Lonchura striata: one gene and its partner. The protein of the gene in region 1 binds, or shares a complex with, the protein of each later gene. Links are inferred from orthologs where the notes say so. Each region holds a gene or a part of one and is shown on either strand. Other genes may lie near its edges.

What was found. Proteins that work in one complex are often made in the same cells at the same time.
Region 2: WASHC5 (region 1) and WASHC1 share a complex: the UniProt entries of both Homo sapiens proteins name them as parts of the WASH core complex. The link is inferred for Lonchura striata from reciprocal best matches to the Homo sapiens genes WASHC5 and WASHC1.

Annotation. Positions count from the first base shown.
Region 1 is NC_134603.1:11,868,993-11,872,742, forward strand, and holds the start of WASHC5 (WASH complex subunit 5), read left to right. Parts: upstream 1-821; 5' UTR 822-976; intron 977-1,853; exon of another isoform or gene 1,854-1,885; 5' UTR 1,886-1,968; coding exon 1,969-2,154; intron 2,155-3,750. Other genes in the region: NSMCE2 (E3 SUMO-protein ligase NSE2), read right to left, coding at 674-781. UniProt on the Homo sapiens protein: Acts as a component of the WASH core complex that functions as a nucleation-promoting factor (NPF) at the surface of endosomes, where it recruits and activates the Arp2/3 complex to induce actin polymerization, playing a key role in the fission of tubules that serve as transport intermediates during endosome sorting.
Region 2 is NC_134607.1:11,556,472-11,560,221, reverse strand, and holds the start of WASHC1 (WASH complex subunit 1), read left to right. Parts: upstream 1-1,231; coding exon 1,232-1,410; intron 1,411-3,750. UniProt on the Homo sapiens protein: Acts as a component of the WASH core complex that functions as a nucleation-promoting factor (NPF) at the surface of endosomes, where it recruits and activates the Arp2/3 complex to induce actin polymerization, playing a key role in the fission of tubules that serve as transport intermediates during endosome sorting.

The DNA.
Region 1 (3,750 bases):
GGTTTCACTGCAGTGTTTCTACCGCACTCTTTTCGGCAGGAAGGTCTTCAGTGGGCGCATCAAAGCACTTATCATGTGCAACCTCCAGCCCCTTCACTTCTGGAAAACACAACCAGCAAACTCCGTGATGAATGGGAGACTATCGAGGACACTTTTTTTTTCTTTCAGGAAGTGATGAAATGGTCCAGACAGGATAAAGAACAAGATAACCCTACAGTTTCTATTCCGTTCGCTATTTTAAATATTTGAGGAAATTACCTAAACTTTCTATTCTTCAATGTCTCAATTTCTATTATTATATAGTATTCTATAGAATTCTTCAACGAGTATGAACCAGAGGTAAGAAAAAAGTATTATTTGCTTCTGTAACAGCAGCTCCACAGGTGCCAAGTGCTCTCCGAGCAGCAGGATCAGTGTCCAGCCCGGGCACACTCGGTGATGAGCGCCCACAGGGAGACGGCCGGGCGGGGAGCAAGCTCGCCGAGCAGGGCTCCGGCTCCCAGGGCCTCTGGCCGCCTCCCCGGCCAGGGCCGGCCGCCGGCCAGGGCAGGCCGGGCAGTCCCACACGGACACACGGCCCCGCACCCGCCCGCCGCCGCCCCGGAGCGCTGCCCGAGCCCGCGGAGGGGACGGGGCCGGCGGGGCAGCCCCCCTCGGCGGCGGCGCTGCTCACCTCGTCCCGCAGCCCGGCAGCGCAGCGGTCCCGGCGCGGCCCCGCGCCGCCTCCCGCAGCAACCGCAGGCGGGCAGCGCCGGCACCGGGGCGGGCGGAACCGCCTCATCAGCCGGCGCCGTCATGTGACGGGAGGGCTCGGCTACGACACAGGGAGCGCCGCCGCCTCCCTCCCGTCCTTCCCACCCTCCCTCCATCCTCCTGAGCCCGCAGCCGTCCCTGCCCGCTGGCGCTCCCGGGCGGGGCGGGCGGGGTGGGTGCCGGCGGGAGCCGCCGAGGGAGCGGGGCCGCCTGAGCGCAGACTGTGAGTTCGGCGGTGGCGGAGCGGGACGGGACGGGACGGGACAGAACGGGACGGGACGGGACAGAACGGGACGGGACGGGACAGAACGGGACGGGACGGGACAGAACGGGACGGGAGCGGGTTCGGAGCCCGTCCGGCCGCTGCCGCCCTGGAGCCGCTGTGCGCCCTGCGGAGCGCAGCCTGCGGCGGCACTGGGCACCTGGGGGGGCTCCGGCCGCTCCTTCTGGGTCAGAACTGCCTTGGGACAGCGCACTGTCAAATTATCGTAATGCTCCAGAAAGTGTTTGGTGAAAAGTCAAGCCTGGTCATAATTTTCCATAGGTGTTTTTGAAGCACAGACGCTTATTTTTGGCGCTGCACGCCGTGTCCCGCAGGAGACGCGTGAACGAGTAAAACTGAGCAGGAAATGCAAGCACAGCATGGAAGCTCGTCCTTTAGCAATAAATAATGAACGGAGCTCTGTCATTTCCATTTGCTATGAAAGTTTTCCTTATTGCTAAAGCCCTTATGATCACTTCGGTTGACTTTTTAAAGTGAATCTTAAAAACACATTTTGTGAAGTGACTTTGCTTTCCTTGGGCCCAATCTCCTCGCCTGGTCATAATTGCTTCACTATTTGTGACTGTTTCATTTTTTAATAGTGTTCTTCAACTGTTCTTCAAAAGATCACACTTCCCCTGCCTGCTCAAACAGTTCACTTCTCAAACTAAGTGTACGTGCTGAAAATGAATTCTGTGCATTTTTTCATTTCAAAAGCTGTGGATAATTTAGATTTCATAATTTGAAAGATTGGAGAGTATGCTTAAATATCCACAAATTAAATTATCAGAAACATGAATATAAACCACGCTGGATGTGTGTGGGTTTGTTTTTACAGGTTATTAATGGCGTGGCTGGTCTCTTCATCAGGCTTTCTGCTTCCAGTAACCTAAAGAGTAAGGATCAGAATCAGACTGCAGGACTTCTGCTGCTCTGTCACACTGAGCTCCACAATGGTGGATTTTCTGGCTGAAAACAATCTCTGTGGTCAGGCAATTCTTCGGATTGTTTCCTGTGGAAATGCCATCATTGCAGAACTTCTGAGACTTTCCGAATTTATTCCTGGTGTTTTCAGACTAAAGGACAAGGCTGATCAGCAGAAGTATGGAGATATCATATTTGATTTCAGTTATTTCAAGGTAAATCCTTTTATTGTTAAACTTCTCCTTAAAGCATTGCTGTCCAACATGAGGATGTTTTAGCTTGTGATACAGCCATTCCTGACTATTGTGTTTATTACTATTACATCTTCCAAAATGTTTGATGTGTCATCTGGCTGTGAATTTTGATAGATATCAATTATATAAGACATGAGTCTTGGATTCTGGGGAGGTAGTAGTAGTGGCACTAGTAGTAGTGGTAGTAGTGGTAGTGGTAGTAATTCCTGCAGGACCACTAAATTAAACTTCCTCCAGCAGGTTCTGAGGCTGCATGGTTGTTTGTTTCCCTTCAGAGCAGTGCCGTGGGCAGCATGCCCATCTTTCTTCTGTTAATCTGTAGCTTATTCTTTGCAGCCATGAAAACTGCTTTCTGCTTTCCTGTCTGACAGTGCTGTGATTGTTCTTCCTCTGGACTTGTCACATGCACTGAATAAATAAATAAATAAGTCAAGGAGAAGTGTCCATGGAAAGCCCTTATTTCTCTTTCAGAATTAAGCTTTTAATACAAAATTCCCTCTGTCGTTTTCCACCATGATTAAGAAGGAACAACAGAGACTGTCTAATCTGACTTTATTTGGACTGTCCAATACAAGAAATGTTAATAATAAAGCAAGGGAGGCACTTTTAAGTCAATTTGATTGTAGTAGGAGTTGTAAATTTCAGGCACCATGAGGTTTGGATACTGAAAATCCAGAGCACAAATGATTTCACAGTTACCTTTAGATCTAGGTGTTTGGTAGAATTTTTTTTTTTTTTTTTTGCACAAATTACTTAAAAGTCTAAAAGCAGATAGCTGTAATTGGTAAGAAATACAGTAATCCTTAAAGCCTCAGTAAATTTGAATGTTAAGAAAGCATAAGTGTGCTGTTTTTCATCATTAAAATCAAATAAATCCATAGAAGTCATACTGTTAAAGCAAAGATTAGAGAATTTGCAGATATTTTTACTGCAAATGCACCCCTTCTGTATTCACAATTCTTAGAATTACTTCTGAGGAAAGATTTGAGATTTGAAAAGTTGAGACTAGTTACTTTGTCCATTTTAACTTCATAGGCAGTTTGGCACCTGTTTTTATCCTTTGTTTTATGTAGATATTTTGCACAGAAAGAGAAGCAAAGAGTATTTTTAAAAACTCAAATTGTCAGCTGGATATTTTCAATTGCATTTTAATAGTACTTCCAATTAAACTTTAGCATTATTTTCCTTTAGTTGGTGATGCTAATACTGCGTGGTGCTTATGAGAAATACGACAGTGGTAAAGGGCTAGAAAAGTTGTATTATTGCTTTAAGGAAGTCAGGTTCTTCATCCCAAATCTTTTTCCCCCATGATTGTTAATGACAAAGTGTCTGCATTAATTCAGGAGACAAGTACTGTCTACACATGTAGAGTGTGGAAAAAACATGTCTAATATTTTGAAGCAGTTTGAATATATGAGAAGATACTACGCTTTCTGAGCCCTCAATGTTGTGGTTTCTATCTGAGAAGTCAACCAGAAGAAATGGGTAAAGGAAAAAAATTCCATCAGTGAGATAGTTAGCACTATAGAAAGCACCCAGTGCCTTCAGATATACTGG
Region 2 (3,750 bases), on another chromosome or scaffold:
GACTTTCAAGTACCACACAGGGAATGCAGTGCATCCCCTGAGATATCCCTGGCTGTTTCTCATACCTTGGTTTTTCATCCTCCTTTGTTTTGCTTCTCCTCAGCTTAATTTCTTATGCAGATGTACAGAGCTCTGTGTGATGAAACCCTGTAATGAGCACCTGTTTTTTTACAGCCTGAATGAGTAGAGACACTGACAAAACAAATTTGGAGGGACTTGTGTAGACCTAACAGTAGAGTTTGGGTTAGAAAACTGTATGGATCCTCTACTCTGTTCATATCTAGAATGTCCTAATAGTTATGTGTTTGAGAGTTTGCAATTTCTAATGTACTCAGAGAAATGGATATTTTTTTTTCTCTTTATGTTCTTCCAAGTCCAGGAATTTTTTTGTTATTTTTGTGAGTAAAGACATGGGAGGCGAACTTCTTGGGAATTGCTGAGAGAGAGGTGAGCAAAGCTCAGGATGGAAACATGGGTGGTGGGTGACATTCTCCTGGCTGAGCTATAGAGTAGTGGTATTGGCCCACTGCATCCAAAAGTGTGCATACAGCTGTGGTGTGTGGCACACAACTGAAACATTCTGGTGACTGGTTAGGCTTGAGATATGAAAGGATTCTAAAATATGGAGGCTTCTTTCAAGATAGTTACTAAGGAAAAATCCAGTCCAGAAGCAACAAAGTGCTCCTGGGTGTCTCAGAATGGAAGAACTCTCATTAACCTACTTGGAGCAAGGGGGTGGGTGCCCATGCATGCCTTGTAATTTCATGGCTTCTGTTCTTGGAAGGCCTGATGGTGTGTTTCTTGGAGCAGAGTGTAAGATGAAATACTGCCTTTTGCTAATAGGGTTGGATGACCTGAAATATAGCCACATGGAATATGAGGAAAGGGAGGAGGGGACAGGGTGATTTGTGATGAGTCTTATTGCCACTCAGAACTGACTTTGCTTCTAACTCTCATCTTTGTTTTCAGCACAATACTGAGCAGAGATTTGTTAAGTAGCATGCTAAAATAAAATTGTGGTTTCCAAGAACATTCATATAAGCAAAAGAGTCTCACCTCACTGTAGCTGCCTTGAATGTATTAAAAATCCAATATGTCAGTCTGACTACTTGTGCCTTTCTCCTCAGCTTACCAATTCTGTTTCAAATGCTTTCCTAAAATAATTAGTGGAGCAGAAAGTAGAAGTCCCTGAATAACTGCTGTGATAAAGTGGCAGTGTGTTTAATGTGTAATGACCTATTTGTTCTTTCCCTTAGGTACAATGGCCACAGAAGCCCAGAAGCACTTTTTGGAAGGGCAGACATACTCAGTGCCCCTGATCCAGCCAGACCTACGCAGGGAGGAGGCTGTGCAGCAGGTGGCAGATGCACTTTACTATCTGCAAAAGGTGTCAGGTGATATCTTCAACAGGTAAAGTGCTCTTCTGGAGGGTTGGGTGCTTAGCATTCAGCATTACAAAACAGAGTGCTGTACTTAGGTTGCAGCAGTGAAGGGGAAAGGGCATTGCACTGGTAAGCAACGGAAGTTCAGAAAAGAGATGAAAAAGGACTAGATGCACTTCAATATGAGTTTATTAGATATGAGTCTGTCAAAGTTAAGCATAATAAAATGGCTGCAATTAGTCAGAGATTGTTGGTTATTAATTTTTATTCATTTTTATCAATTAATAATTTTTTATTCCACAAATTGTATTACTGCTTCTGCAGTAATATTCCTTCTTGTTCATGTTTTGAAGGGGAGGCATTGTAATTTAGAGTATCTTGAAGATTTGTCTTTTTGAGTTATTGTACTTGAAGCAGTGAAGTAGAAAATGTCTCTTTGTTCTGATCTCTGCAATGTACAAAAGGTTCTCTTTGGGCTTCTGGTGTTTCACCCTTCCCTTTTTGTGTGTTGGAAGGGTTGTGCCCAGAGTAAGACTGGGTTTCTTGCCACAGTATCATAATCCATTGAAGTTCATCTCTTCAAGGATTTGGTCCAGATTTGGCACCTCTTACATATGATCATCTTTAGGATTAGATCTTTAAGACTGTCAATATAGCAGATCAGAGAGATTCTTGTGTTTGCTTGCAAATGATGGTAGATAACATGGTGTCTTTTTCTGTCCAGTGCCATCTTTGACATCTCAGTGCTCTGAGATGGTGCGGAATATTGTTGGGAAGGAAACAGATCAGCATTTATCTTCTCATAGTCTAATCAGTAAAAGCACATGTTTTGATTTCAGCAGGTCCTATGACTATCTAGGTTAATTTCTTTTGGTGTGAGCAGGGTCATGATATTCTGTCTTTTTTTGAGTTTTGAAAGGTTTTTTTAAGGGTAGATTGAAGTTCTGTGGTTTCTGATAATGACATTTTGAAGGGTAGCCTCTGAAGAAAGAGCAGTCTCTAAGGCTGAGCTCAGGTTATTGAGGGTAAAAAGGTTTTCCACTGGAATAGTGTTTGTTTGGGCAAGGGCTGTGTGTGGGCTGGATTAGGTTGAAGACAAGGTCTACTTCATTTGTGCTCTTCAAAGTAGGGGAACACTTCATGATCTAAGGCTGGGAGAAGGCTTTCTAGAGCTGCCATAAACATGTGGAAAGCACTTCTCAGACTTGGGCCTGGTTGGCAATACTGTCCCTCTCTGTGAGGTAAATGAAGCTCTTGATAGTACAGGAGTTGCTCTTTCTCTGTCTCCATTTTTCCCTGTTTTTTGTCTCCACACTGCTGTCTTAACACAGTACCCTGTGTAATTTCCCTAGGGAGATAAGCTTGCTGCTTTGTATGCAAGTCACTTCTGAGTACTGAGCAGTGACTGTGCTGCTGTTCCCTCACTCTTTGTGCACTCATGACTTTTAATTACCAATTTTCTCCAAAAACAGAGGAGGCTTCATTGGTTTCTTTGTTTGCTTTGCCTTTCCAGTGAGGTCTTGGCTCTCTGATATAATTAAGAGTGATTTAGTAATTATGCAGGCATGTGATGAGAAATTCCATGACCTTGGTTGTGTGGGTGCAAAACCACAAGGGAGCCATGGCTGAAACCTAGAGCATCCCCACTGAACCCAGCCTTGGAGAACAGGCCTGGACTGCAATCAGGAATCATTTAGAGCAGGATACATCAGCTCAGCATCCCTCTCTATCTTAACCCTACCTCTCAGGAGCAGAGACCTGCCTGACTTTTTTACATATGGGGAACATCAAAGCTCTTTGTTGCTGGGCAATAGAGGAGATTGATGTCTTAGGCCAGTGCTGTCCAGCAGTGCCTTCCTCTGAGGAAATCCTGTCCTCTTGGAGCTGATATCAGCGCTATGACAAGACCAAGAGGCTGCATGTCCTTCTCAAGTTTATGCTGAGAAGTAATGGAAGTTTTAAGCTTGTGCGTGTTAACTGAATCCAAGTAATTGATCATTTGTGGAAGCTGCAAAGATCAGATTCATTGCCTGTAGTTACTTAGATATTAATACTGCTTAAAATATAAATATTCTAACATAGCAAATCTGACATAATATCTGTTTGAATTTAACTCCTGGGTTTTTAGGAAGGCTTTTTGATACAGATCACAGGAAGTAGGATGACCAGTTTAAACCCTCAGTTAATGGTAGTCTTTAATCTATTTTTTTTCTCATTACTGGTATGTTCTGGGTGGGAGATTGTGTTGTAATCATGTACCTTGGAGTATTTTACAGGAATGTTGGTGGGATAAGTACTTAAAATAAGTGATGAGTTTAGATTTCCTGATATTCTCTCCTAGTTAGGTAGGCTTGTCCTTCAGGATTTC